Nothobranchius furzeri: one gene and its partners. The protein of the gene in region 2 interacts with the protein of the main gene of each other region in a pairwise test. Links are inferred from orthologs where the notes say so. Each region holds a gene or a part of one and is shown on either strand. Other genes may lie near its edges. The genes, in order: rhobtb3, RNA-binding protein with multiple splicing, creb5b, fam168a and prkab2.

The links.
Region 1: the proteins of RNA-binding protein with multiple splicing (region 2) and rhobtb3 interact in binary tests that used the Homo sapiens proteins (3 or more experiments, as listed by UniProt). The two-hybrid records come from large-scale screens. The link is inferred for Nothobranchius furzeri from reciprocal best matches to the Homo sapiens genes RBPMS and RHOBTB3.
Region 3: the proteins of RNA-binding protein with multiple splicing (region 2) and creb5b interact in binary tests that used the Homo sapiens proteins (3 or more experiments, as listed by UniProt). The two-hybrid records come from large-scale screens. The link is inferred for Nothobranchius furzeri from reciprocal best matches to the Homo sapiens genes RBPMS and CREB5.
Region 4: the proteins of RNA-binding protein with multiple splicing (region 2) and fam168a interact in binary tests that used the Homo sapiens proteins (3 or more experiments, as listed by UniProt). The two-hybrid records come from large-scale screens. The link is inferred for Nothobranchius furzeri from reciprocal best matches to the Homo sapiens genes RBPMS and FAM168A.
Region 5: the proteins of RNA-binding protein with multiple splicing (region 2) and prkab2 interact in binary tests that used the Homo sapiens proteins (3 or more experiments, as listed by UniProt). The link is inferred for Nothobranchius furzeri from reciprocal best matches to the Homo sapiens genes RBPMS and PRKAB2.

What each region holds. Positions count from the first base shown.
Region 1 is NC_091743.1:55,653,696-55,658,835, reverse strand, and holds part of rhobtb3 (rho-related BTB domain-containing protein 3), read right to left. Parts: intron 3,274-5,140; coding exon 3,107-3,273; intron 3,008-3,106; coding exon 2,911-3,007; intron 2,579-2,910; exon of another isoform or gene 2,306-2,578; coding exon 2,187-2,305; 3' UTR 1-2,186. UniProt on the Homo sapiens protein: Rab9-regulated ATPase required for endosome to Golgi transport. Involved in transport vesicle docking at the Golgi complex, possibly by participating in release M6PRBP1/TIP47 from vesicles to permit their efficient docking and fusion at the Golgi.
Region 2 is NC_091742.1:66,798,434-66,804,396, reverse strand, and holds the start of RNA-binding protein with multiple splicing, read right to left. Parts: upstream 4,067-5,963; 5' UTR 3,610-4,066; coding exon 3,547-3,609; intron 3,536-3,546; exon of another isoform or gene 2,009-3,535; intron 1-2,008.
Region 3 is NC_091745.1:35,737,106-35,743,332, reverse strand, and holds the start of creb5b (cyclic AMP-responsive element-binding protein 5), read right to left. Parts: upstream 4,202-6,227; 5' UTR 4,081-4,201; coding exon 4,051-4,080; intron 719-4,050; coding exon 641-718; intron 1-640. UniProt on the Homo sapiens protein: Binds to the cAMP response element and activates transcription.
Region 4 is NC_091753.1:35,545,702-35,552,010, forward strand, and holds the start of fam168a (protein FAM168A), read left to right. Parts: upstream 1-2,679; 5' UTR 2,680-2,873; intron 2,874-3,007; exon of another isoform or gene 3,008-3,128; intron 3,129-6,309. Other genes in the region: kbtbd3 (kelch repeat and BTB domain-containing protein 3), read right to left, coding at 76-258, 383-545, 626-903.
Region 5 is NC_091751.1:56,440,604-56,446,834, forward strand, and holds the start of prkab2 (5'-AMP-activated protein kinase subunit beta-2), read left to right. Parts: upstream 1-2,737; 5' UTR 2,738-2,856; intron 2,857-2,916; exon of another isoform or gene 2,917-3,079; intron 3,080-4,057; 5' UTR 4,058-4,081; coding exon 4,082-4,240; intron 4,241-4,341; coding exon 4,342-4,499; intron 4,500-4,843; coding exon 4,844-4,937; intron 4,938-6,231. Other genes in the region: mitochondrial adenyl nucleotide antiporter SLC25A24, read left to right, coding at 257-438. UniProt on the Homo sapiens protein: Non-catalytic subunit of AMP-activated protein kinase (AMPK), an energy sensor protein kinase that plays a key role in regulating cellular energy metabolism.

The DNA of each region.
Region 1 (5,140 bases), on a different chromosome or scaffold from region 2:
CATACCAAACATCCATATGGTCAAAATCTCAGTGATTTACTGAAGAGAAATGCACTGATTTCTGCTACATTTCTGCATAGATACTCCTAGAACTGGACACCATCTGGTACTGATGGTTACTGTACATTAATAATTTGTGAAACAAATAATTGGCTTCAAAAAGCCCAACAATATGACTAAGTTCAAACTGAGTAAATGGCAGAGAAACGCTGGACTGTAAAAAGGTGCGGCCATGTTTTTCAAGTACACATATTGTATAGTTTACAAAAATATTTGCAGCACCATAAATCATAATTTCATTTTTATTTAAAATAATCTACCAAAAACAATGGGTAAAAGAAATACTGTCTTATTAACCCAGAGGCAGCGAGGTTTGTACTGTAATTATGTTGTGATATGGAGTCTACATCATTTTCACTATCAAAGGCTTTCACTGTGTTGGTCCAAATAAGGACTCACTACAACCCTCCAAAGGACAAAGTATGAAGCTCAAGTTCAAAAAGGAAGTGTTTCAGTGATGTGAAAACCTATGTGCCCACACACAGATTCATTGTTTTTGCTTTTCTGTCACAAAGATTTCAGATTAGTAAACGAATGACAGTATCAACAGAACCTGAGTAAATACAACTTTTATCATCATTTTGTGTATTAAAAACAAGCATAGACCTAAATGGAAAAAATAATCTACATTTTGAATTAACCACATTAAGAAATCTGAGTCCAGTTTCACTCAGATTATTGCCTACTACTAATGTAATCAATTCCTCAAAACCTGTCTGACAACATGGAGTAGGCGAAATAAACACGGTGTTCCATTCTAAATTCATTAATGCAGAAAAACACCTAAACCAGCACCACCAGTCTTATTGATCATTGATAATTGTAATTCTGTTGTTTTCAAGCTTTAGTCTTTAATGTTTTATTGTAATTGTGTTCATTGTATGTTTTTTTTTTGTCTGAAGCACTTTGACTTGTCTGTGAAAAGTGCTGTATAAATCAACTTCTTCACTTGGTTAAGGTCAGAGGTCGGTATTCCTCAATAGCAAAAGGGTGTGTACACTCAACCATAAACTATGAATCCCTAACAGGCTTCTCCACCAGCTCCTCTTGTGGCATCCCAAAGCATTCCCAGGCGAGCCTACAGATATGATCCCTCCAGCGCGTCCTGAGTCGACCAGGACGCCTCCCACTGACGGGACATGCCTCCAACACCTCCCCAGTGAAGTGTCCAGGATGCTCTCTAAACTCATCACCATTACCAGTTCTGACCAACCAAGGGTGTTTATAAAAGTGTAGGTTTAGTTGGTTGGGATCAATTTATCTGCTAAATAAATAAAAACTCAATTTTAAAACTGTTTCTGTATTTACTCAGGTTTTCTGATATCTAATAAGCTAAACATTGGTATGGACAGATGTGTATTCACAGAACGGTCTTGATTTTCTATCCGAATTTGTTTGCACTTTATTTTTTATATAAAATAGATGTCGTTTTTTTCTCTGAAAAATGGTATTTGAATCTAATTATAATCAAAATATAATAAATTTATTCTGTCAAGATAAATCAATTTGGCTGCAAAACAATTACTTGTGATGCATCATAAATGTGAAAGATCTACTAAGAGAGCTGTAATTAAATTGGTCCTGCTCAGAAGCTGATCGGGTTTCTGATATTTTACAGATGAAAATGAGTAACGACTGCTTTAGCAGCCAGTGCTGGGCTGTAGATCTGATCTGAGAAGTCCAGACTCCAGAGATGTTTCAAATCATTACGTCCAACAACACATGGATGCTACTGTGGGTTTAATTATTGCTGCAGCCGGTGTGTGTGCAGCTTAGACCACCGTTGTCAGGGTGGGGGTAGAAACAATTTACACATAATGCTGGTTTGAATATCTGGTATTTTTAATCCTTATGGAATAATTTAGCACATTTGATTATTATTTAGCATCTTGTAGAAATATAATCTATCACAGAGCCTCTGCCTTGTGGCCAGATGGTCATTTTAAAATCCTAGTTTGTATTGCCCAAGATGAAGTTGTCCTGATGCAAAGAGTCATTCCTCTAGAGGTGGAGGTGTGGTTCGTCTGAGCTTTCTGCTCACATTTTGACAACTATCCTCTCTCTCTCCTCTTGTATTCCCTTTTGTGCCCCACCCTCTTCCACAGAGTTTAGGCCTCCAGATGTGGTCACATGACTAAGCAGCGAGACTTTCGTAGATTGCGCCGCCGCTGCTGATACTCGCTGAGCTCCTGCAGGTATCCTCTGGACGGCCAGCGTAGCCTCTCCACCTGCTCACGCTCCTCCTCTGAACACACAGACATAGACATTCCTAGCCATCACCAACTGCAGACAACCCTGTGATGCTTTGCTGATGAGAAAGTTTGTCCATGCCTGATGCATGCTTTCAGATCCACACAAGTATTAAACGCTTAGCTTGCTGCCCTGAGGACAACCACAGTCACTGAAACATCAACGAACATTTTTACATTAAGACGCATCAACAAGCTTGTGCCCACCAGAACCAGAACCTGCCATAAATGAGTCTTTATATGCATGACAATAAAATGCTTCTGCTACAGTGTTGCTGTTCATCTCTCTTCATAAGCAAATGCGTAGAGATACTTGTAAAGACCCTTGAGGGGCATAAACTTTAAAATAAAGGTTTTATTAGATGATAGCATAAAAACAGGTGAGTGCTACCTGGAGGATCAAGTTTGAATGTGAACTTTCATTAGAAGCAGCAACTCTTTAATTCACAGCTAACTTTATCTCTGTGGTTACATTTCATTTATTTTACTTCTGCTTTGTTGAGAAATGTGAATGTTGTGCCTGGTTTCTTTTCTGAGCATGAAAACAGTGTGTTATTGTAAGCTTCACTATAATTCTAAATATTCACTTGATCTCACTGACCTGAGAGCTCCAGGAAGTCGGGTTTATGACTAAAGATCAGGTAGTTGTTGGCGATGAAGTGGAGGAGCCAGATGTACAACTGCTCTGCGTTATGGCACTGAGAATGAAGGGAAACGGAAGGAAAAGATGACTGAATATTATCATTGAATCAATTAGCATACAAGCTGGCTTCTCTCCACACACACGTAGCACTGACCTTTGCCCTGCGGAGCAGTCTGACCACGCTGATTCCTGTTGATGCCAGCTCTCTACTGGGCATGCTCTGAAGGTAAGCACACACACACACCTCGCACAGGTGCTGTAGTCGTTTCACCTGATACATCTCTGCACAAACCAGTACAGCCATGGCCTGCAGCACACTGGCTGGACACACACACACACACAGTGAAACCCTTTATACACATTCTGTTCAATAACATGATGCACATTTATTTTGTTACCAAAGGCATACTATTTCTGCCTTGGAGAACTGGGTGGATTATATTGGAAAAGTAATTATTAGTGTTCATCTACAGCTCATCCAACTGGAGTCGGCCTGGTTAAAGATGGCTGCCACATCTAATCGGTGTTAGCAGACACAAACTTGGCTTTTAACTCTGTTGTCTTTACAGATACTGAGCTGCAATTTTACATATGTATGAACTTTGAATGCTACATAAAGGCTGCAGCTAAGATTTAAACCTGCAATCTTTCAACTAAGCCACTTGTTGATGTTGGTAGCCATGTTCACTAAAATGATCTCAAATTGAAATGGTACCAAAACATCTGGAACGTAAAAGTTGAGGCTTCAAAAACTGTCCAACCATTACCCCAATAAGACCTCAAATGTGTCAGGTGTCAACACCTACACAGTTCTTACCTTTTTTCTTGGAAATGGATCTATAATTAGTTATTTGATGCTTAAAAAGCACCATCATTGTGCAAGTGAGCAGGCAGGACTTTGAGACTTCCAAAGTGAACCGACTGCACCCGTAGGTGGTTTTTATCAGATGTGCTTTTGTAGGTTGTAGGTCACGTCTCTCTTGGAAAAAGAGAATTTTCATGTCATGTTGACCAAACCGATAAATAGAAGTTAAATACCTTTTTTAAACCTGGGATTTGTGGCTTTACTTTTTGACAACAGAAAGGAAAGATGCTTGGTTTAAGTTATTAATGTGTCCTAAAAATGATAAATGATACACACTTGTTTTGGAGTCAGAAGACTGCAAAACAGATATTAGAACATGGTTACTGAAAAACAATGGGGTTGGTATCAGCTTTGGTGTGTTCTTGCTGTGTTGTTTCAAATTCCATCTTTCAGTTCTTTTTAAAACACAGAAAAGGTTTATTTACCTGCGAAACGTTGCAGGTAAATAAACCTTTTCTGTGTTTTAAAAAGAACTGAAAGATGGAATTTGAAACTCAACACAGCAAGAACACACCAAAGATGTTTAAAGAAAAATACGGACAACAAGGAACGAAGGACTTCCGCCGTTTGGGATGATTGCATCAAAAACGCGCACGTCTTTGGAACCACCTTCACTTCAATTTAAGATGCCGGGACGAAAACATTACACCAACAAGCCTACAGCTGAAAACACCGATCCGGACCAAGACAGCACAGAACATAATGGAAAGAGCACAGAGAGCACTACTCAAAGAAAGGATAAGAAATGTCACAACCAAACAGAAGCAAGTGGAAAACGAACTGGAAAGAAGACACCTGGACTTAAAAAGAAATTACAAACTTGATGAACAAACGGAGGAACTAATTACAAGACACATGATGGAACAACAGGAAAAAGTTCATAAAAGTAAAAGACTCAAATAAGTTAAACAAAATCATTAACAAGAAAAAGAGGGAAGAAATACAAGATAACACCACATAATGCTCATGGGTATGTAACATTTCACAATATGAACTAACAGAAGCAGAAGAAAGCATATTAAAAAAGGTTTAAACTTTGCAGTAACACCAAAGAAAATACCATATGATGAATTTATCGTAGCAACAGAACTACTAGCATGTCAACAGATCACAGATGAGGGAAAGAAAGCAGAACTTAGAAAAAACGTTGTTGGGATATTAAAAAACAGCCAAATTCAACACAGCAATATTACAAATGAAGAACAATCAGCCATGACAGCGTTATCCAAAAATGAACAGATAATTATTCTACCAGCAGACAAAGGAAGAACCACAGTAGTAATGGACAAAGAAAAATATAAGCAACAGATGAAACAGATGCTA
Region 2 (5,963 bases):
TTAGTGGCTCCACCCTCTCGGTCTGCAAGGCAACAGCATTTGTTGCATTTTTCAAACATGAAGTGGGAGTGAAGTACACTTCTTGTAAGGGGTGACTTGCTCTTTAAGGTAAGGACAAAGGGCCAAGGGGGGTTCTGTTTAATAATACATTACATAATATAGCTAAGCAGTTAATGCTTAATAACACATTAGGTAACATTAAAAAAGGAATCTTTATTGTAAAGTGTGACTAGAACTTTAAACACATAATAAAACAATGGAAATAATATTCAACTCAACAGTTGACCAGTATATGTATATTTTTTTATGATATATATATATATATATTTTTTCAATATCACAGTTTCATTGTGAACTCATCAGTTTTTTTTTTCAGTTTTGGTTGAAACAAAAAAAAATACATCAGCATCTGTTTAATTAAAAGTCTAGAAGAAATTTTTAAATTGGCCTAAATCTTGATCAAAAACAATGAACTCAGCATCTCCGAGCGTCTGCTCTTTGTCTGAATGCGTCTCCTTCCTGATAGGACAAAAAGGCCTGGAAGTCTCACTGTTAGTAAATATACTCCATGTCATTGTTTTCTTAGCTAAACTGAATAAAATTATAATTTCTTACTTAAGCCCTATTCATATCAGTTTATTCCAAACCTACAGAGGGTCCACTCCAAATTCCTTTATCCAAACAAGGTCTGGAAACTGGCCCTGGCTACAACATATCTTTGACATTCACCATGCAGGCGACCATATTTCACCTCAGCTCCATCGTCGGCTGAGTGCTGCACTACGTAAAGCATCCAGAACACCTGATAATAATTCTTATCAAAGCGACTCTTTAGATTAGGAGCGCGGGGGCCGAAACCTGCATACCTCGCCCTGCAACAAGCCCATGTTTGGTTGAGCGCCGGTCCGCGAAAGATAAACACTAAGCATCATCGAGCTTTGGAGGTTGAGCAATGAAGTAGGCATGAGGAGCCAAGCTTGCAACAGTGCTTTACTGGTGCGAATCAGTGATCCATTGACTTGAGAGTGTGTAGAAGTGGGGGTTGGGGGGGGGGGGGGGGGAGCATGTGAGAGTCACACCAGCAAGGCTGTTAAACTTTAGCTCTTATAAGGTTACAGTTTACAGTTGCTATGGTGTTGTTAAACTTACAGCGGTTAGGTATTTGGTGTATTTGATGGAGCGTAGGGAAGATTTTAAAAGGCTGAGACAGTCCAACTCCCCATCATAAACTCGTCCTGCTATTATACCAAGCACCGTGTGCGTCTGTGCAAAACCTACCTGAAGCATGTCCACAAGAGAGCCTGTCAAAAGCACAAACTCCCCCGAAAGCCTCACTGATCTCCCACTAACACCACATGCTGTTTCCACGAAGACAAAGTGCCGCGGTCTAACCTTATGTTAATTCATCCGAGGAAATGTAAGTGTCTACTGTCCTGGATGAGTTCCAAACATTTCTAAGACATTAGATTCCTCTGGCCATTACTCCCCCCTGTTTGTGCGCTGGCTACAGACGGCTCCCGTCTGGTCCTTCGGCTCGTGGACATGATAGAAATTCAAACGTGCGCCACGGGCGAGCTGAGAGGTTTAACTGCCCAACAACACAAGGCTGCAAACAAACCAATCGCTAAATAACTGACATTTGCTGATTAGTGTTTGATGTATTCCACCTATGAAAACGAGACCTTCCAGAATAAAATCCAAGGTCAAACTGTTTCCAAAGTTTGACTGATTACAAAAATGTGAAATATTTATTACGCTGAATAAAAAGGAGGGCCAGTTTATATCTTTTTGCAGGTTTTTGGCTATTTTTACACTGATATGAATTCCAGTATTGATGGGAGATCTACAACAGCTGTATGTTAATGAACCCTCAGTGCTTGTTGATCTCAGTGACAGTGGAAGCAATAATGTGTGGAGAGTTGTGATTCAAGAATAAAGACACAAGTATCTCATTGTGATACAGCTCTTGAGGACCAAACTGCATTTAAAAGTTTCCAAAACCTCTCACCATATTTCCAAGGACTTCCTCGAGTGTTGTCGCTGAACTTGTGTTTTCAGATAAATTTCCTCACCGAAAACATTCCGAATCACTGTGGTCTTCAAAAAACTGTCCAGAACTTTTCTAAATTGAATTTCCGTGAGTCAGAAAGGAAGAAAAATGAGAGACAGCTTTTGAAATGGTTGATGATGAAATCAACATATCAAATGAGGGAAAACTGGCCAACAAAATGGGACACAGTTAGGACACTGTTACCAAATCATAACGAGAAAATTTGAATGGCTGTTGCAGTTTTTTTTTGCCTCATATTCCCTAAAAGACCCTCCTCATTAAGGTGGGACTAGTCCCTGTCAGCAGAGAGACACTGACTAAAGACGTGTGTAGACGATGCGTATTTATCGCAGAGGATACCCTTAAACCTTCTCAGCGGCCTAGTGGTATGAGTGTCCACCCTGGGACTGGGGGATCGGGGTTCACATCCCGGTTGGATTGGGAGATTAAACCATACAATAGTTCCAGAGCGCAGACACTGCTGCTGGGATGGGTCAAATGCAGAGATGCAATTACACCAGTGAGTGGTGACTAATGGGACTGGAACTTTAATGTAACATTTGACAATGAAATGTTGTAAGATGAAGATAGAGATCAAATGTACTATTTATGTCACATAGGACTGAAATTTTTGATTTTTGCTTTCAGAATTGAGGTTTACTCCATTTGTATAGCACTTCCTCTTGGTCAGATCAAACAAAACACCCACAGATGTTGTTTTCTTTTAGTTTATGAACTTCTAAAATGGTAATTTTGATTGCATAGACCCACAGTGCATCCATAGAAACCTCGGCCACGAACCAAATATGGTATTAAGTCAGTCCGTTTGGCGATTCAGTTACATTGCACCGACACTAATCAGATTACTCCAAAAGAGAAATATCTGATACACCTCCTCTACGTCTCCATCTCTCCTCTGAGGAGATGTGGAGCTCAGAAAAGGGCCAAAGCAAATAAACCCCAAACACAGACATCCACAACAAGAGATATCACTGAACCAGATTGTGCAATGTTTACAGAAACTGGGCCATTCTCTTATCCATTTAGGAGGGGAGAGAGAGAAACACAATTATATCACGTGTTTTCAGACAAACAGCATCAATCTGGTGTGTTTAGATTAAATTAAGCCCCGGTTATGAAAGGAGATATTCTCCTCTGTGAGCCTGGGATACTTAAGAGCTCTTGCCAACATGTTGCAGCGGCAGATGTTTGAACTTCAGCGGCTTGGCTGAAAACTCTACCTCGGATCACAAACGCTCTGACTTTTGTCTGGCTTTACTGGTGCAGGAACTTCAAAGATGTTCACAACAAAAAGTTGATAGCGGGAAACCTGGTGAGCTGTGGTGGAGGAAACTTAGATAGAAGCTGAATAAGTTTGGTTTCTTCTCGTTTTTCTCTTGAAAACAGATATTTTAGGAATTCGGCGGCTAAAATAGTCACACGAACCCCCCTGACGCCCCTTGTAGCGCGGCGGAGGCAGCAGGTAGGATACATACCTCCTCTTCGTGGTTGGTGAATTCACTCGGCTCGTTCTCTTTCTCGATTTTGTTGTTATTCATTCTGAGTCTTTGACACTTTCACTTCTTCTCTGGTCTCTGCTCTTCTCCAAAACCCACGAATGATGACAAAAGCAGCTCCCCGAGACAGTCAGAGGGAGTCCGGCTGTCCTTCTCTCACCGCACTCTACCAGTACGCATCAATAACGGCTGATCTTCTTCTGGTTCTTCTTCTTCTTTGTTGGTATCAAAAGCGGTAAAAACAGGAGTCAGCTGTGAGCGGTGTTCCTCTCCTGTCGGGTATTCCTCAGCATTCCCTGGAAAGCTTTACCGGAGGCGCTTGTTGTTGCTGTTCCCCCTCCTGAAACGGAGTTAATGCTCCTTGTACGTGCGCCGGAGGCGAACTTCTCCTCCTCTCTTCATCTCCGAGTCCGTAACGTCCGCGCGCGCGCCGCGGAGGGAGGGGTCTGGGTGGGATGCAGCGTTTACCCTCCACCGGAAAATCTGCATCCATCATCTAGAAAACCAGCTCAGATGTTATTTTAGTCCCTGAAACATTCCTGCAACGTTTTCCTCACGCGCTGCTTCGTGTTGTCACGCTGTAAGAACACATTTGTTTATTAAATACGCAAAAAATGTGATTTTGTGGTTTTATGCGTTTAAATACCTAAAAGACCCGGTCATTTCAAATGACTTTTGCTTAAACTTTTACTGTTTGTTTTTAATTATTTTTATTCAACCATTTAGTTTTATTTTTGTTTAACTGATCTTTTTCATATTTTTACTATACTTTATTCTTTTTTTTTTGTCTTGATTCTTGGGTGATTTTCCTTGTGAATTACTCTGTGACATTTTTCTGTGGTTGCTATAAATAACCTTTCGCTCACTCACTCACTCACTCACTCACTCACTCGCGTTATAACTAATTATTTTTTATGGTTCAATATTTTTATGACACACAAAGGTTAAAGTCTAATTCAGTAGGTAGAGTGGGTTATCCAGTATTCAGAGGGTTGCAGGTTCGATCCCAGCTCCCACCAGAGAATGCTGCTGTTGTGTCCTTGGGCAAGACACTTAACCCACCTTGCCTGCTGCTGGTGATCGGAGGGACTGGTGATGCCTGTGTACAGCAGCCTCGCCCCTGTCAGTGCACCCCAGGGCAGCTGTGGCTACATTGTAGCTCATCCCCACCAGTGTGGGGACATATCTCTCACATCTGACGAATACACGCTCGACTATCTCCTCAACTGCACACCTTTCACAAAGTCCATCTAAAGCAAACTCAAAGCTGGTGTGTGTGTGTGTTTTCTATAGGTCAGGATGGCCTTAACCAACACCTCCAGGCTCATCTCATTGATTGACTCCTTTATCTACCTGCAAGGTGAATGGTTACATGATGTGTTCAATAAGAACATGGGAACTTATTTGTGTGGTTTTAGTTTAAGCAGATTATCTGTTGTTGTGACTGAGATACTTTTACATACTTTATCTTGCAAATGTAAATGTGAGACGAGTCTTTGTGATCTTTTTGTTTAGTGGGGGTTCTGGCCTTGAAGTTATTCCATGGTGCCATTTATGTAGTTTCTTTCTTATTGCAGAGTCATGCCGTGCTTTAGATGTTGTTCTAGGTTATTTTGTTCTGGAACTCCTTTAGAACGGGACGCGATGTGTTGCTTTTTGAGATTTTAGCCTTCTTCGTGTAGCAAACAGGTTCTGCTCAAGTGATTTCTGTGTGTTGCTAGGGGTTGTATAAATCACAGTTTATTCATGATTTAACGAGCAGGGGAACTAATTTTCCACAATGGGACAGATTGTTTTGGACCCTTTTTTCTGTCAGTGATGAAAAAAATGTAATTACTCAGACTTTCCTTGTCTGAAAATTAAATGTATTTGCAGATTCAAAAAGTTTCAATGTTAAAATAAGCAAAGAACAGAAACAAGGACAGTTAAAGAGCAAGTCATCCCCAAATCAAATTTATTTTTTTTTTTGCTGATAAACTATATTGTCCAACCATGCTATAGACACGTGTAGTCAATACTTTGGCACTTTAGTGAATCTTAGTTCAAATTTAAATATTCTGCTTAAAACTGTCAGTGTTGTGCCCTCTTCAGGTAAAAACTCTGCACTGCATTTGAATTTAAAACTGCCATCGCTATTGGCTAAGAAGGTACCCTATGACTTTAGCTGGTACATTATGATGTCACAATGTCATTGTGAGCCTGAGTGTGTGCATTTGTTAGCGGCTCCGCCATCCTGGTCTGCCAGGCGACAGCGTCTGTTGAATTTTTCAAATCAGAAGTGGGAGTGGAGTAAGACTCTGGTAGGGGGTGACTTGCTCTTTAACTCATTCGCTGCCAGCCGTTTCCTGATCGCTAACGGCCTTCGCTGCCAGTGTTTCTCGCCGTTTTTACTGTTT
Region 3 (6,227 bases), on a different chromosome or scaffold from region 2:
TTGAGGTACATCCCTGCTTTAGCTTCGGAAGAATCAGAATTTCTAGTAATAAATCTGGACTTTTGCTGTTAGTTTCAGCTATTTTCAGTCCAGTGCCTGAAAACGAACTGATCTGTTTTTCTGTTACTTGTTTAAGCCACTTGATCCTGACAGTGAATCGTTCAAGCGTGGGAAGCTAAACTCAAGGCATGAGCCACTGTTGCATCAACACTAAACAAGCAACTAGACAAAAATACAGTTTTAAATTAGATCAGTCTGTCACAAAGACTTCACTTGTTCCAATTTTTCTGTTGAATTTATTAAAAAAAGGTAGCGACACAGGGCCAAGACCAGGATGGTGCATTTCTCACGTCCTGGATCAACTTTTTGATTGATTTCTTTTCTCCATTTATTAAAAATACAACTTTCAGATCGTTCATCTGCTGCAGACAGTTTATTTTAGATCTAAACTTATTTTGTCCTCCATCCTTAGTGTCATGATCAAACCTAAGAACTGGACAGAAAACTAGTAAAATAACCGTCAAAGTCTATAAAAATCTTTCCAAAAACCTGGAGAACTATTGATCAAGAACACTACCAAATATTACAAGAAAGTCTGGCTGCTTGGTGGTTTCGGGCTTTGGTTTGTACCCACACTGACCTGAGAACAGCCGGGAGCGTTACACACAAACAGCCTTTCCTGGTCTGAGTTCATCCCTCTGGCCAGAGTCTCATAAAACTAGAGAAAACATAAAAAAGAAAATATGAACTGTTGTTTCCTTGAAACAGTAACTTTGAAAAAGCTTGAAAAAGTATATTTCAAATGCATTTTTACATAAAATATACGAAGTTTTGCTAAAGCATAACATGTATTCTCAATAGATTGTATAAGAACAAATATACAGTAAGAAGTACTAATCCTGTTTCGTTTAGCTAATTTAAATTAAGTCATAAATGTTTTCTCAAGAATGAACACGCTGCTCTGCACTGATCTACAATCACCAGCGAAGATGCAAATTTCTGATGCATCAAACCAGCGAAATGATTAAAGGTTTTGCTGATTTAGTTGCTAGAGTTGTGTTGAGGAACGTTCTGTAAGGTAAGCAGTGGACAGTTAGTTAAGAGTTAAATTCATTTTCAATATATAAACACAACTTTTAATCCAAATGTCCTTACAGCTCTAAACACATTTAGCTTGGTTCTTAGATCCTCTTAGATAGAAAACATACCCGACCCCAACCCTGTTCACCAGAAAAGTGTCTCGTAGCACACGTTAATCGACTCTTCAGGTCATGCATGAAACCTGAGTCAGACACGAGAACAGGAACGATGTTTTCTGAATGGATTTGAACTAATAATGTAAAACAAGCAAAGTCATGTGAAGCTGTCATCAGAACCCCTCCAGCTGGAGAGCCACCCGGTAATCTCTGCATGTCTGGCAGCATAAAGGCTGTTCACGTTTTTACTCAACTTTTGCTGTTTCACATTCCAAACACTGACAAAGAAAGAATTTTGTGTTATTAGTCCTCTTGATGTAAATATCACAATTTTCTCGTTCTGTCTTTTTCTCTTTAGCAAATGAAGTTGGGATGTTTAAACAACGTTGAGATGAAAAAGTGTTTTATAATAATGAAAATATTCTGTTACTATTTTTCAATATCTTCGTATTTTGTGTCACCAAATGAGGGCAGGAGGTCACCTCATCTGTGGCGTGTTCAGTCTGAAACTCTCAGTGTGTGTTCCCATCAGGATGAATGGAACAGCTACGGAGTTACTGCAGGATATAATTCTCATTTATTACACACTTTAAATACAGCTAATCACTTTTCTAATCCTAACCATAAGCTGACAAGAACTGTGCTGCATCTGTCATTTATCCAGTGCCACATCTGAAACGCTCTTTGAGAACACTTTCATGCACCAGGTTCATAAAATTCTCTTTTTCATGCGTGCAGACTGTTTCCTCAAGAGAAGTCAAAACACCCTAATATTGTGTTATGCTAGGCTGTGGTGTTTTCCTAACAGGCTGTGCTTCATAGGCAAGCCTGTGGAACGGGGTCTGGACAGGGTCTCTCTGTCAGAGACCACGGAGACCAGTTCCCTCGCTCTTCTGCAGGGACCCCAACAACTCACCTGGTCACCTTTGACACAACAAACATCAGCAACAAACTAAACAGAGTGACTTGTGCGGCACCCCGGTTATTCGTGTGTTTCTGCCACATTTGCATCACGGATACGTAATTTTCAGCTGTTTCTTTTGGCTGCATCTAAGTCATTTCCACAATGATCACCAATAATAAAAAATACACGTTTCTTTCCTTTTTCTGTTTGTAATATTGGGGTTGATCATTTCAGCCCAATTACCACGACATTCGAACCACATGATGCAGAAAACTCCACCATTCATCCCGTAGATGCCTCTGTGAATGGTTCCTTTGCTTTTGCACTTCACACTACCTGATGCTTGATGCCCCTTTCCTGGAAATGGGGCACTTGGTTCATTTTAGGTGTCGATGTTTTAGTTTAGTAGAGGAAATGTGGTTACACCTCACATTAACTATAAACCGGTGTAAGTGAGGTGCATGGGGGGGTTAGTCCAGCCTTCGATTTCCAGAGGAAGGAATTCTCCAGACATTGTGTTTGAAGTCAAACGGCGGGAGTCAGGTGCAAAAAGGTACGTGGGGTTAAAACGAGCACAAACGTGCAGAGCAAAACGTACCTTCCGATAACCTCGGCTTGTGACAGCACAAGTTCAATTTCTGAGGCAGTGAGCGTGGTCCAGATGACAACTGTGCTCTTGAGCTACATGTCTGCGAGAAGACTGGAGAAGTTTAGTACTGTAAAGCGGGGTATGGGCAAGAAAATGAGTCCTGCAATAAAAACTTAGGGCATGAAACAAGAGACTGCTGTCGTTTGACTCCTTCACCAGCACTACCCTAAGCACATGAAACCGAGTCTGGGTCACATTTCACTGCTGCAATCAGCCACTGAGCTGCACTCAGCTTGATAAAATATGGAAAGAATCTGCTTCAAGGTTACTAATTAAAACCAGTTACCCAGGGAGATCCACCAGACTTGACATTTTGGGTTTTTCTTTGATTTTTCATCATTCATTTAATTAGAATTGTGATTAAAATTTTAATCTGATTTATATATATTTTAATCAGGACATTTTGCAACTTTGGCTGAATCTTGCAAGGTTTGGTTGTTGAAAAAACGAGTTTTATTTCTACATCTGGTGCCTTGTTTACCAGAGGGTTTATTAACGGCATCGGTAAATAATTTTAAAGGTAGCGGAAATGTAATCCATCTATTTTCGTCATTCGGTCTGTCTGCTGTTACCGGAAGTCTGGGCAATAATTAAAGGGTGGGTGAAAGAAAAGTGGTTATTGACAGTGCTGCCACATAAACATAATGAAAGCAATTAAATAATTGAAGTTCTTTCTTTCTCGTCAGCACCTTCCTGAAACCTCAGCATCTGATCGGCCTACATCCCACAGAATGACGTCATGTTGCTCTTGTTGCTTTTAACGTTAAAAAAGCAGATCTGATGGAAACAGAAGCCGTGGAGCGGTGCGGCTCCGCGTATCCCCAAACGGGACAGGCGCACCGGTGATGCGCAGACCCGCAAGCTGGGAGGAAACGCTGAGGAGGTGCAGAAACTAATGTGCGGCGTGCAGAAAATCCTCCTTTTTGCGGATGTCGGAAGATGAATTCCTGCGGACCTGACAGGCAGACAGACCGAGCTGCGGCACTTGACTCCGCGTTCAACTTCAGCAACAATCAGCAGCAAACGCTCTCTCTCTCACACACACACACACACTCTCTCTCTCTCACACACACACACACACACACACACACACACGCGCGCGCGCACACCATGACAATGCACTCACTTAACACGAAACTCACACCAGACTTTCAATCGCGAGCTTAACATTGTTGCAGGGATAAGAAAAGCAAAATAATATTTTTTCCAAAAGCGCTGAAGCGAACAAATCAAGCTGTTTCATGGAGGAGGAAAGAAGAGAGAGAGAGAGGAGAAAAACGCTTTTAACGAAGTCAACCAACCTGCAGAGGCTCGTGCACGAGGGTCTGCATGGTGGCAAGGTTTCCAACTTACCAAGTGCAGAAAATATGAAGCAGTCCCTCAGAAGAAACCACGTTGGACTGAGAAAAGATTACAATACGATCTATTTAGAGAACCATAACGTCACCCCTGGGTGACGTCACGTGGGATTCCTGAACTTCTAAATCATTGCGGTCCACTGGTAGGCGGCGCGAGCGGGGCGGGGCTTGTGAGTGCACGCCCAGGAGCATGGACGGATGGATGGACGGAGACCGCTGGTCCTGAAGTGGGTGCGGTGCAACAAAGCCCCGCAGGCAAATCAGCACGGTGGCGCTGTCCCATAAACTCAGCTGCATTAGTTAAATTAGCTGGAGAACCATCAACCAAAATAACAAATAAAATTCATTATAAATGACTAGACGGCTCTGCTGAAATATTACATCAGTCGGCTGGAACAAAATCTAAATAATTCCCCAGTGAGAAGTGTGATTAATATAACCAAGTCACAGACTCACAGGTGCTAACTGAAATGGTCACACATAAATGAAGAAACATCGAAACTAAATCAACGAAGACCTGCATTTCTTCTGATCTTTATAAGCAGTCCACAAACTGGAAAGACCACATTCATCATTAACATTTTGAAATTAAATTAAGCTCTGCTTCCAAAACGCGGTAGTTCAGCGTTAGTGCTGCATCTGTAGCTGAGAGATTTAAGCCGGAGTCAGATCCTCCTGTCTGAGGGCTCGGTGTGTCCTGCTGCTGGTGCCAACCGGCTGTGATTTCTTCAGCCACAGACACCGGTAGCAGCGAAGCCATCCTCAAACCCACAGGGATTAATGACTCCTCGCACATTGAGAAATGTTTACCACTGGCCTGCGACCACTGCACCAGACACACTAAGAGCTCTGTCACTGAAACAATAACGCAGTCTGGAAAGCCCTCATAACTCAGAGCTTCTCCGCCTCTGTCTTTTAACCAGAGCTTTAATCAACGTTTATGACATCCTTTTGTCTCTTTATTGCCAATATATTTCCCAACCAATCCAAACATTATGCCTCCAGAAGAACAGACTATCAGGCTGGAGAGAGCCGATACAGTTGGAGGTCAGTGGCCCACACTAAAGAGAGATGTGATCTATATTATACTAAACCTTTTATGATTATGTCTTTGTGGAAAGCTTTTGGGTAAAACCACCTTGGGATGAAAAGATCATGTGATGATATTTTGTGGCCGCAGGCGCGTTCACGAGGCAAAAAGATACAAGTACAACTAAAACATTACTAATTATTTACAAAACCTGTGTGCAAATGGGGAAAAAGTCAGATAGATTCATTGAGAAATACAACCTGGCCAAGCTGATGTGTTCCACTCAGGCCTCAGACTGACTGCTTCCTAGAGCAGAGGTGGAGCGGGGGCCGAGCTTTCAGCTAGCAGGCTCCAGCTTCCATCAGTAATGCTAAATGGCCTGTATTTGATATAGTGCCTTCTAGAGTCCTGGACCCCCCAAGGCGCTTTACAACACAACCAGTCATTCACCCATTCACACCCTGGTGGGGATGAGCTACAATGTGGCCACAGCTGCTCTGACTGGGGCGCACTGACAGAGGCGCCAACGGTCCATCCGACCACCACCACCACCAGGCAAGGTGGGTTTAGTGTCTTGCCCAAGGGCACAACGTACTGAGCAGGGTTCGAACCTGCAACCTTCTGAATACGAGGTGAGCACTTAACTCCCGTGCCACCATCGCATCAGTGAGCCGCACAAGGCTGAACGGTTTAGTTTCCTTTTAGAGAAATCTCAGTCGAAGGTGGTGTGGATGTCGTTTAAAAAAACCTTTCAAGCAAAATGAATGATGAAAAATAACAATCCAAAGGTCCGACTTTCCTCGAGCCCTGCCCGGGTCTGTGGCAGGAAAAGTGGGATCATGTTTGTCCTTCACAGACCCGGTGAACTCTCACATCCTGCTCTTCAGCTCTGACGACCAGCAGCTCCCGGATCTCTGCATCGCTCCAGTCGTCTCCGCGGATACTGTCTCCCCTCCGTCTTGTTGCCTTGGCTCACATTTGATAAGTAATCATGACATCACCATCTGTTGCACAAAGACGTGATCACCATACATAAGTCCGGTGTTGCAGGAATATTATCGAGCTTGGCGGCACAATTGGCGCAATATTC
Region 4 (6,309 bases), on a different chromosome or scaffold from region 2:
AGTAACAAAAGAAACCCATTCTCCCCCAGTCTACAGAACACACCATTTAAAGTTTAGCTTTCTGAACTGAGGTACCTGCATATCTAGGAACTCCTGGGTTTTGGAAAGGTCATAAAAGTTCTGAACCACAAACTCGTTGGCATTGTGCAGAAGAGAAGCGGAGCCATACGCCTCTCCCAGAGACAACAGGGAAAGACAGTTAGAGAGATCCATGGATCCTATCAGAAAGTCACTGCATGCTCTGGACAGGATGGAGACCTGAACACACAGCATAGTAGGTTAAATTATCATGAGATAATGCTAGAATGTACTCAGTGTGACTGAAGACATGTTTATGGTGCATCCTAAGGGTGAGGCATTCTGACAATGATTGTAGCTCTACCTGCAGAAAAGAGGAAATCTGAAACAGCATGTCCACATTCCCATCATTGATGAGAGTCTCTCCAGAGTAGGCAAAGTCCAGGAAAGAAGCCACAGCCACTGGACACTGATGCAGAGTTACTGATCCATCACCACACTCTCGCATATCTACCTCAAACATGGCCCTAAGCACAGCAATTACATGAATTAGACTGTATAGACAGACAGACAGACAGACAGGCAGAAAGACAGGTAGGCAGGCTACCTAAAGAAATCACTGCATGCTGCAAGAACACAGCGATGACAGGGGAAACTTTGTTCCTGTACCCTGATGATGAAATCAAACAACAAGCCTCGTTCTCTGAAGGACCTGAGCACACACAGAAGCTGCAGTCCATGGGTCTCTGACACACGAAGCAGTGTCCGTCTCTCTGGGAGCCCGTTGTCCTGTGGTGCACTAACAGTTTGACCTCTGGGAGGGCTGGAGCTGCTGGGGTTGTGGGAGGTAGTCAAACTGGCAAGTGACTCTGGATACTCATCCATATTGCCAAAACCTAAAATAATAATAACAATAACGATTATGATTATGGTTGCACAAAACAAATAAATATGTTTTGTATTTGCAATAAAAAAACCACTAAAAATAAACAATAATCTATTCTAATAACTAAAATAAACAGTGTGTGCACGCTAAGAACAAATTACTTCAGCAGCCCTATCATTTACTCTTGTCTCTATTTTAACCCTAAAACCAATATATGGGTGTTTAGCTCACTTGCGGCTCAAGTTAAATTTGTTACACTTATGTCGTGTTTTCATATCTCAAATATGAGACTGTAATACACTTGAAACTATTCAACAAAGCAATGTGGAACGAGAAGAGATACTCACGGGTTCAGCACCTCGGATAGCTCCTGTCACGTTTCGTTCTAACCTCCGGAAACGTAAAATAACGCGATAACTCGCGCAGCTTTTTGTTTTGGGTTTTTTCTTGTCAGGTCTTTGGCTTCTTACATAATTTAAATTGAAACTTATTTTGTTCAAGCGACAATTATAACACACTTGTCATAGCTACAACGGTCTAGCTGTATGCTAGTGTGCAGCTTGAGGGACGGGAGCGCAAAGGCGCCTGGGAACTGTAGTTCTCTTTTTATGAGAGCGTATGATAAAACCTAAACCATCGACATATATACGGTTGAAACATTAGCCTATAGTGAAGTCCGACCTAGGTCAGCATCCAAGCGATGTCAGACATCTTTTCTTTTGTATTTTTTAGAGAAATGATGCTAAAACCATTCTGCAGACTCAAAATGGGCTAGCTAACTGAAACACCTAGACTTTTTGCACTTTTAACTAATCTATAATAATTGCATAAGTAATTGCACCTGTGTATACGGCAATAATGCATTTTTGGGGATTAGTTGGGACCTCATAAACATAGGCTAAAATAAAGACAGTTTTTACAATATTTTAAGTTTATATAAAACTAAATAAAAATAATTTAAATAAAAGCAAGTGTCCTTGAATAAAACGACTTTATGTGAGGATGAAGGGTCACAGGAGGTCTTAACCATCACTGTTATAAAATTCATAATTTACATTTTCTGGTTTGAACTTTCTCAACGAAAATTATTAGAGTAAATAAAATAATAAATCAGTACTAAGATTATATATAAGTGTAGGTATATATTTAACAAAAATGCCTAAAGAAATCCTAAATTCCCATGCTGGATCTTCCGAGTTCACTATTACCCTTAAATGCATCATAACCATCAAGTGGTGCATGCTGGTGCATTCATGGCCACTTGGTGGTGCTGTTTCACTGTGGAGAAAGCAACGGATAAAGCATGGGACCGAAATGAAGAGTGAATAAAACAGAAGAAAAAAAATCTGTATTGGTGAACATGAACTTCCACATATCCTGCAGTTTAATTTAACCACCACGCGCAGTTTATGACAAAATAACACGATTCTTCTGGTCTGAAATATGAATACATACTGATCTACAGTCAACGTGATCTGAATATGTAATAATAATAATAATAATAAATTAATGTGATTTTTTTAAAAAGGAATCATAAAGTCTTTATCTTGATCATTTTTCATCAGTAAACCAACCTATTCTATAGGAATGATTAAAGGATGGATATATCCGGATGCCATTCCCATAAAACAAAGAACTGCTGTTCAAATTGTAATTGTGAATAATACAAATCTATTTCCTTTCTATTATTAGACACCTTCCACTTTACATGTATCGGTGGGTCATGCCCCCACCTCTGCTTGCATCCCTGCATCCCTCCCTCCTTCTCTCCCTCCCGGCGGCAGTGCATCCCCCATCCCCCACACGGTGGCCGTCTCTCCGGTTGAAAGCTGTCTTCCCAGCCGCCTCTGGCCCGACAAAACGCTGCTGTAGCAGAGCCAGTCCGCACCAAGCCGAAGCTGAGCAGAACCACGGGAGAGTGCACGTACACACCAGGGGGAGTCTTTTTCTGTTCGACCGGGTGGTTTTGGTGAGTCTAACACGCTTTTTATTGCGGACGGAAGGAACGTCCATGTTTCTACTTTTTAAGTTGTTCGGTTTTTTTGTCTGTTTTTTTCCCTTCAATTGTCCTCCGTGAGGAACTAGCGGGCTATGCTATGCTAAGCGGCTAGCTCAATTAGCGGATTCTACAACTTGGCGCATCGGGAGTGTTTTAAGTTATTTACGGTCAGTCGTTAACATCGACCCTGGCTTTTCACGTGCCGCCCGGTCAAACTCAACCATGGTTAGTGTTAATTGTCTTTTCTAATCCGTTTCCCCGGCTAGAATGCTAATTATCGATTTGAGCAGCGTGTACGGATGGACGCAGGGATGCGGCGGTGGGTTAGCGGTTGTCTTTTCAGCCGAGCTTCCAAAGGCTAAGCTAATGGTAGTTTTATATGACACGGGTTCCTGCTAAGGTGTGCTATAACAGCCACTCTAAATTCAGCCAATCTAGTGTTAATTGGCAAGATGGCATCTCGGAGTTGTTATCCAGAAATCGGTGGATTTTCAAAATGGTGTCTTAAGCTTGTTTGAGTGTGACCATTTTTGTCCAACCAGTGCTGTTTTGGCTCCAGTTGCTATCTCTGTTATGCAGCGCATGCCATGCTTCGATATAATATCATGTAAATACTCAGCAACAACAAAGTAAACCGTGTCCTCAAGGCTGCAGACTGCGTTATTAGGCGTAAAGAAGATGTGTTTTGGGTGGGTTTTATTTGTCTCTCTTGGCTTTAATGCTGTCAGGTTCAACAGGAAAGAAGCATGACGCACATCCCAGCACACTGCTTTATCTGGATGTAATTACGTGTTTACAAAATGCATCACTGGATTGTTTTTATATTTTAACTTTTTTAATTGTGAATCCCAAAACTAATAGTCACAGGTAGGACTTGTGTCTTTTGAAAGACGTGATAATCTTACTGTTTATATTGTTAAACTGTAGGGGATGGTGTTTTTTCTCAGTAGTACTTAAAGAGACAATGTGTAGTATTTACCGGTAATCTCTGCAAATATCCATCGAAATGTTGTTGAAAACGAATAAAATGATGCCCAGTTGTAGAAAAACATTGGCAACTTCATAACGTATAACCTTAAAATACATGGAAGTCTTAGTCTCTGGGTGACACCATATTAGATGCCATGTTTCTTTTTATGGGAGCCAGTGAGGACATAATACATTCACTGATATGTAACAGTTACAAAACTTTATTCATTCATTAACATTGTTTTACACATTTACCTCTTCACTCGTTGCCAGTGATGAAAGAAGTCTGGTGTGCCTGTCATTTTGTTGGAGGTTGCACTCCCAGGGATTTTTTACCCCAAATGGCCATCCATTGGTAAGGTCTAAAGCCTCATTCATTCTTCTCCATCTGCGCAGGTGAGGAGACACGTAACGCTATTATGAGTCGGTGCAAGGGCTCGACAGTCTCACAGAGGGTGACAGAGACATGCCCAAATTTTTAAATATCTGTCAAAAGTGACGGAGAATGCTAGCTTGTGATTAGTCAGGACACCGCTTCCTTTAAATGTGTCAACAGCTCCGCCATTGTCCCGTCAAAGGTAAAAAGATATTTAGCGGCAGACACGGAACAGATTGAAGAACTCATCATGGGAAAAAATCCAAAAATATGAACGCGTATTCACCCGTGACTGAAATGTGGAGCAGATGTTTTATTAATGGACAGAAACGATGGGGAACGTGGGTTTAGAGGTGGCGACCACTTGAGATGTGGAGGAGGATGAAGGACAAATTCGCCTGTGTTATAAAGTCTCTGAAGTATAAAAACACATTAGTAAATACACCATCATGGACCGGATATATGAGTGTAATGGTGGCATGATGCCACAGAACAGCGCTATGCCCTCTGTTGTCTTGCGAGGAGTTGCTTTGCAACACTCCCCAGGAGACGAAGTGAGAGAGCAAAACGTCTCTGTCAATGCATGTGTGTCTCCCTTTACAGAGCTGACAGAGAAATATAAACCAGACTTAAAGCTTAATTTATATTCCTCCGTCAGCTCCACGAGGGAGACACATGCACTCACAGAGACGTTTTGCTCTCGGACTTCTCCATCTCCTGGGGAGTGTTGCAAAGCAACTCCTCGCCAGGACAACAGAGGGCACAGCGCTGTTCTGTGGTATCCTGTCATGTATCTGGTCCAACATAGAGCATTTACTATTCTGTTTATATTGTGTTTTTTGTATTTCAGAGACTTTGTAACATGGACAAATTTATCTCTCATCCTCCTCCACCTCTTAATGTGCTCACCACCTCTAAACCCACATTTCCCATCATTTCCGTCCACGGATAAAAGCTAGCTGCGTATCTTTTCACTCCCCCAGTCATGGGTGAATAAAACGTTCATATTTTTAGAATTTTTCCGTGAGGCATTCTTCAAGCTTCTCTGTGTCTGCCACTAAATATTTTTGGTTTTCTTAATGTTTTTTAGGGCGCGATGGCGGCACTGTCAACGACAGTGGCATCCTGACCAATCACAGGCTTGCGTTCTCCGTTTCGTTGGACAAATGTTTAGAAAAGAGAACTCGACTCCGTCCTTGCAAGCCTCCTGGAGAGCCCTCGAAAGGACAGATAATGGCGTTGTGTGCGTCCATCCCGACTCAGACCGGGAAGAATAAATTAGGCTTAAGTCTCTTGATGACGCCATTTTAGATTCTGTTTTCTTCTACCTCTTCGCTTGTTGTCGGTGATGAAAGGGAGTCTGATGTGCTCCTCAATTATTTATTAGAAACACTTTATTTTCATAAAATACAAACAATGTCATCTTCTAGTTAATTTTTATAAAGAAAATAATTTTAGACAAATGAGAGTATATTAAAATCAACAACACATCCTTTCTGGGATCTTCACACTGAAATTTGATATTGGCAGTTATGAACTAGGATAAATATTTTTTATTCTAAAGATGCAGTAAAAAGCGAGTCTAAGCTAAAGCGAATGCATCTCTCTTCAAAGAGTTCAAATGATTACAGGTCCTCGTTGGATTGCGTCATCAGCCTAAGGTGACCTCTGCCTGGTTATACTGTGGGGGGTGTCTCCTGTGTGTGAATAATGGAGTCTACAAGGCAGCTGTAAAACCGTCAGACCATTGAAAGCTGGAGCCATAAAATGTTTCGACAGAAAATGGTTCTCTTACAGACGACAGTCTTTTCAGCACTTCAAATAGCATAACGATTAGCTTGCAACAAACAAGTGAATTAAACAAATGGCAGCTGAAGAGTTCGGCTAACTTCCGGTTTATCTTGTCCAGATCTGTATCATTCGATTAGATATCTTTTATTTATACTGGTAGATCCAGCTAATTAAATTTCTACACTAATGATGTAAGTAAATAAAAGGTGACGATTCATTCAAACTGTGCGTTATTAAATCTCTTAGATCAGGGTTGGGGAACCCTGGTCC
Region 5 (6,231 bases), on a different chromosome or scaffold from region 2:
GTCCCTATTTTTGATTTTCTGGTTACAAATCACTGGAATAAAACTCAAAATAGGTTCTTCATTAAGTCAAACTTCTGTTTATATCTGAGTAGAAACTAAAACAAGACTTAAGACATAATTGCGCCAGAGATCCCATCATCAAAAAGTATTATAAACTTGTTTAGTACACTTTCCGATCTGCACAGTGTGTCAGTATTAGAACATGAAGCACAGACATGCGGGCTGCACATGTAACTGAGTGTTTTTGTTCCTGCAGCGTCTCTGGATGTGTCAGACCAGCCCTCCATGAGCTCCTTGTTGAGGACAATCGTAGCCAAAGATGGCTTCTTTGGGCTCTATCGTGGCATCCTGCCAAACTTCATGAAAGTCATCCCTGCTGTCAGCATCAGTTATGTGGTTTATGAGTACATGAAGACTGGCTTAGGAATCTCAAAATAAGCGTGAACAAAAAGAGGATCATTTAGTGTTTTATCAGACTTGGAAAAAAGCCTGCAAATAAAAAAAATTCCAAAACGACAGACGGACATCCAACGTAAAGAGCATGACTTCATCGGACGGAAGGCTGTATGGTTTTTTTAGAGCTGCCTGCCAGTAGTGTTTTAATCAGTTGTGGTGTGCATGCTTCTTTTATTATCCTAAAGTTGCACATAACACACTCTCTACTTTTACACTTTGTCCCAAACAATAGATGACACACACACACACACACACACACACACTTCTGAGGCTACATAATAGTAAAAAAACACAACATTATATATTTAGTTTCAATGTTTTCCAGGTAATGACTGTGACAGGAAAAGTTTGTCTTAACGGAAAACTATTTTCTGTGTGGAAAATAGTCACCTGCCACATTTGTGTCAGAATGAGAAAATCAACACTGTCTGAGTTTGCACACGTCTAAACACTGGAGACAGGATTTTACACTTTTTAGTTTTAAAACGACTTGTTTTACAGGACTGCAAATGTTCAGGTGGTAGCTGCTGGTTTTAAAAACAACACATTTTTCTAACGGTGGAACAATGCCTGTGTGTGTGTGTGTGTGTGTGTGTGTGTGTGTGTGTGTGTGTGTGTGTGTGTGTGTGTGTGTGTGTGTGTGTGTGTGTGTGTGTGTGTGTGTGGGTGTGTGTGTGTGTGTGTGTGTGTGCGCACGCACACGTGTGGGTGTGTGGGTGCGTGTGTGTGTGCAAAGACATGCATGTTGTGCAATGTGAAAATAACTCACCCCATATTCTTTGTGATCATTTAATTGTGCCTTACAGCCTCTTGATGCAAATCTCTGCGATGAGTTTTTTAGCTGCATATACTGTTTTAATGTACTGTACGTTTTCAGTTAAGCTTATTTATTGGACTGACTGATTAAAAACTGTTATAACAGGTCCGACTGAAAATACCTGCAAAGACCACATTCTTGTCACGTGTCTCTTCTTTGAAACAGATGATTTAAAATGGGATTTTTACTATTTAAAGAGGACAGTGAGTGGTTTCTCTTTACATTTCTGATCAGCAGTTTGAATGAGACCCAAGCTGTTTTTATTCAGAGTTAATATTATTTATGTTTTCTGAAATCTGATGTAGACAAATGACTTTATATGCATGTTTGAAATCACTAATGTCTTTAATAATAAGCATGGATTTGTTGAGTTGAGAAGTTGCTGTTGTTAAGTTAACTGCGGGAGAAAAAGGTGAGGAGTCGAACGAAGCAAAACTAGTTATTAATGTGTTTACAGAAAGGAAACCCAATAGAAACGTAGGCAGCTAATTTTGCATTTGGAGGTTCTGGTGACTTCTTGCTTATAAGTGGTAATTTCTGTTTTTTTACAGTGACTGTTCATTGGTGTAACAGGTTTTCTACTTGTCTCATGGATAAATAAAAAAACTCAAGATATTCTGATATTTTACCTTATTATCTGCATGAGCGCTTAATGAAATTTAACTTAAGTATAGCTTAATGAATTGCAACTTGAGGAGGAGACCAATTTAATGCTGTTTTTTTTTTTTTTTTTAGTATTTATTCTTATGGAGAGTGTCAAACATTGGTTGTAAGAATAAAAGGTCTGCAAAGTTTTTAAGCCAAAAATCAACACTGCCTGGTCTTTTTTGTCCCTTCTTTGTTCTCATCGGTATGGACCTTATTTGCACGATGTTTGCTCCATGTGATCAGCTCAAACTAAACAATCAGCTGGCTTACCCTCCACCATTTTCACCTGAAATAATCAATGGAAATAGTGCATAATTTCTGTTTTTATTTCTCAGGATCTTGAAAAATTTTAGTGTTATGATACTGAGATGTTAAAATAGTTATTAATGTTAACTAAAGTTTAAAAGTGCCCATTTAAAGCAACAAAGCATTAAATTAATATAATCAGCTTATAACATCTGAAAAATGTCTTGGGCAACGCAATGTATTTTGTTAAATATTCTAAAGCATTGGCGCTACTAGTTAAAATAAAGCTACTTTTAAACTTCATTGTGAATAATGTGATTTTTTTTTCAGAATGGAATTTGTTTACTTTGTTTCTTGCCTCCAAACGTAAACTACATTGATTCTAATACTTCAATTTCTATTTTTCCTCTGTGTGCGTTCTATAATTTTTTCATACAACAATGAAAAAGTTTAATTTTCGTTGAAAGAGGAAAACAAACGTATTTATTTAGATATTACAAAGGTAACAACCCCTCAAATGTAACTGACGTCACGTCTCTTCCCGTTCCTGATTGGCTAAAATCACTTTTTGGCCTCTGCGCTCGCCGTACTCGGAGCCCCGCTGTGCTGCTGTTGTGAAAAGTGGAGGACGCGGACAGGTCTTCGGTTTGAAGACAAACTGCTGTCCTGAGGAGCGGCAGCTGGTGCTTGTGAGTGTCTCCTTTGTAGCTACACGGGAAACCAAAAGCGTTTCTATTTAGCTGCATAATTTGTGTCGTTAGCAGTCATTATTAAAGCAGACAAGTCGTTTTTGTTTGTTTGTTAGTAGTGGCTGCTGGTAGCTAGCTAAGTTGAACTGCGAGCAGCATCTAAAAATATTCACCCTGGCTGAGCTGAGGTGGACAGGAACAGCCTGACGTCCAGCGGGCAGTGGTGGGTTACGTTGACTTTATGATACGGCACATGTGGTTTCACCTGTTGCTCATGAAGCTAGAAAAGCTTTTTAAAGCCGTTAAGCCTTTGGGCTAAACCACACAGCTCACCGTTGTCATACGCAGCAGTGATGCACGCACAGTTCCAGTCATTTTAACACATCAGTTACTGTGTTTTTGCAGCAGTAACACTGGACTGTGGACAGCTGTTTGCTGTCATCACGTTCTGATACAAACTGGGTCTCTTCATGACACCTTGATCTCCTGATTGTGATCCTGTTGTCTGTTTAGATGTCTTCAGCAATGGTTTGGGTCAGCTGATCAGGCATGGGACTTGGGTTAGTGGTCAAATACAAATATTTAACATTTTTATCTAATATGGGATTTTAAATAGACTTCTAATTGGACTGATTTATATATTTGTAAAGTGTAAAATCATAAACTAAAACTTTTTTGTGTCTTTGTAGTATCTTGATTCACATGTGTTGTGTTAACAACAGCGTTATACATTTGCAGGGTCTCTAGTGTAATGTAAGGTGCAGTTCTGGGAAACATTGGTGGAGTTTCTTTGCTGGCTGGTTCTAGTCTATTTACTGTATTACAATTTTATCTTGCAAATTAAAACGAGAAATTTAAAAGCCATTTATTTACCTCAAATAAATGGTAAATGGCCTGTATTTGATATAGCGCCTTCTAGAGCCCTGGAACCCCCCAAGGCGCTTTACAACACAACCAGTCATTCACCCATTCACACACACATTCACACACTGGTGGGGATGAGCTACGATGTAGCCACAGCTGCCCTGGGGCGCACTGACAGTAACAGACAAATAACTTCTTTTTAAGTTCCCTTGACAAAAGGCAAATTTCTTACTAACAAAATTTTAGTTGCATTTTAAGCTGTGGTTGTTAGTGTCTAAACGGCTGGAGTTTTGTAAAATTGGATGTTCATAGCAAAACAATTCTCCTGACCTTGCAGTGGGAAGTCAGGCTGTGAGGCATCATGGGAAACACCAGTGACAGAGTATCTGCTGATCGCCATGGAGCGAAGGCCCAACGCTCCGACAGCAGTGGGAGTCACAAGGACCAAGAGACCAGCAGCAAGTTGGTGGACAGCACAGATGACCCTAACATCTTCAATACCCATGGACCTGAGTCAAAGGTAACCCTCCGGCAATTCCGACTAGGGTGCAGAATCGTTTCTTTGCTCTGTGTGATCAGTTTTCTGAATATCTATTGATGTTGCACGTTTGCTGCTTCTAGACATCAGGAGAAAAAGAATTCACCCCAGATCTCGACGACTTGGTTAAAACTGGTCCTCAGGCTCGACCCACTGTAATCCGCTGGGCTGGAGGGGGAAAAGAAGTCTACATAGCCGGTTCTTTCAATAACTGGAGCACAAAGATTCCACTAAATAAAAGGTAAACAAATTATTTTGTAATTCTATCTCACTAGGAGCTAGCTCAGGGGTGGACAACACTGGCCCTTCAGGGCCACTATCCAGCATGTTTTAGCTATTTCTCTGCTCCAACTCACTTTGTTTAATGGTTGTGTCACCTGCTCAGTGGCTTATTTAGCTTGTTAATCACCTGCTGATCAAAATCTGTAGTGTTGAAGCAGGGAAACGACTAAAACATGCTGGATGGCAGCTCTCGAGGACCGGGGTTTTCCCCCTCTGAGCAAGCTGCAGGAGTAGAGATCACTTAAATGTTTTTATTCAGTTTAGATTATCTGGTGTTGCACTTAAACTCTTTTCTTTTTGAAGTCACAATGACTTTGTAGCCATTCTGGACCTGCCTGAAGGAGAGCACCAGTACAAGTTTTTTGTAGATGGACAGTGGCTCCATGATCCATCCGAGGTACAGCAGACCCACCTTTGCTCTGCTTGTTTTTCTTATCATTCACCATATTCTCAGTGCCTCCTAAATTAGTCTAAATGTCTCAGAACAGTCAGTGTGTTTACATGCACATCAGAAAACCAAACTGTTGCCCTAAGTAGACTGACGTGATTTTTTAAAATCACGTAAACATGTTCGTCTTGCTGAAGGTGAACTGGTTGTTATCGTAACCAGATAATGCGGTAGAACACAACTGCATCTGCATGTAAACGGCTCCGCCAAGCTGATACTGGTAACTGCTGAATGTGACGAGTCTGCAGAAGTGGTCTTCTGACATTATCACCACAAAGTAACAAGAACCAGCCGTCTGGACTTTGCGCAGCTGAACCGAAGTAGTAACTGGATCTCTTTGACTTTGACACCGCTCGTCTTTGGAGATTAACGGATGCTCCGCTTATTCTGACGAGCAACGTTAACAGAAACACAAACTAATGACATTAGCAGCTGCCCGCTCCAATTGCACAAAAACGTTTTGTGAAATTATTGTAACAAGACTGTTACCGCGGGTTACAACAGAACTACGCACCACACCGGCGTTATCACTTTCATACACATTTATTTCACAGGACTGATCTGCAGCACAGTTCATCCCACTGCTGCCTCCGCTCGGTCGGTCGGTTATTCCCCAGCCGGCTCCTTGTTCCTGCAGCCGTGCATAATTATATAATAATATACATACGTCATTAGATGGCTATAACTTGTTTGTGTCTGCACATGTGGAGCAGATATTTTGTTGTTTTATCCCATCATGAGACTTTGTCTGCCACGATGTGGGCTGTTTATCCACTAGAATTGCCTGTTACCACAGCCTTCAGCCTATTTTATCCGCTGGAAACCTGTAAAATGTAACTTTACTGTCTTTCTTTCATCTATTTGTGCAGCCTAGAGCTCTACATGTGTTAACCATGCTGATAGATTTTATTTTGCTGTTGTTTAGCTCTGTTTATTGACAACTGACAGCTAAACACAACAGGGGTCAACATGGATGTGCTGGCTTCTTGCTTTCTAGCCAGAAGCTGGGTGGGGGGTGGGGGGGGGGCGCGCACGTGACGTCACACTTCAATATCATTGCCCCTGATCGTCGTACCCCTGATTAGTCATCAAGACAAACCTGAAGAATTTGGGTGTTGTTTTTGACCAATCAATGTTTCTTGATGGCCACTCAAAAACATTGGTCCGAAACTGTTTGATCACATAAATATCTCCAAACTGCGAAGGTTGGTGTCAAAACATGAACTTGAAATGATTCTCCATG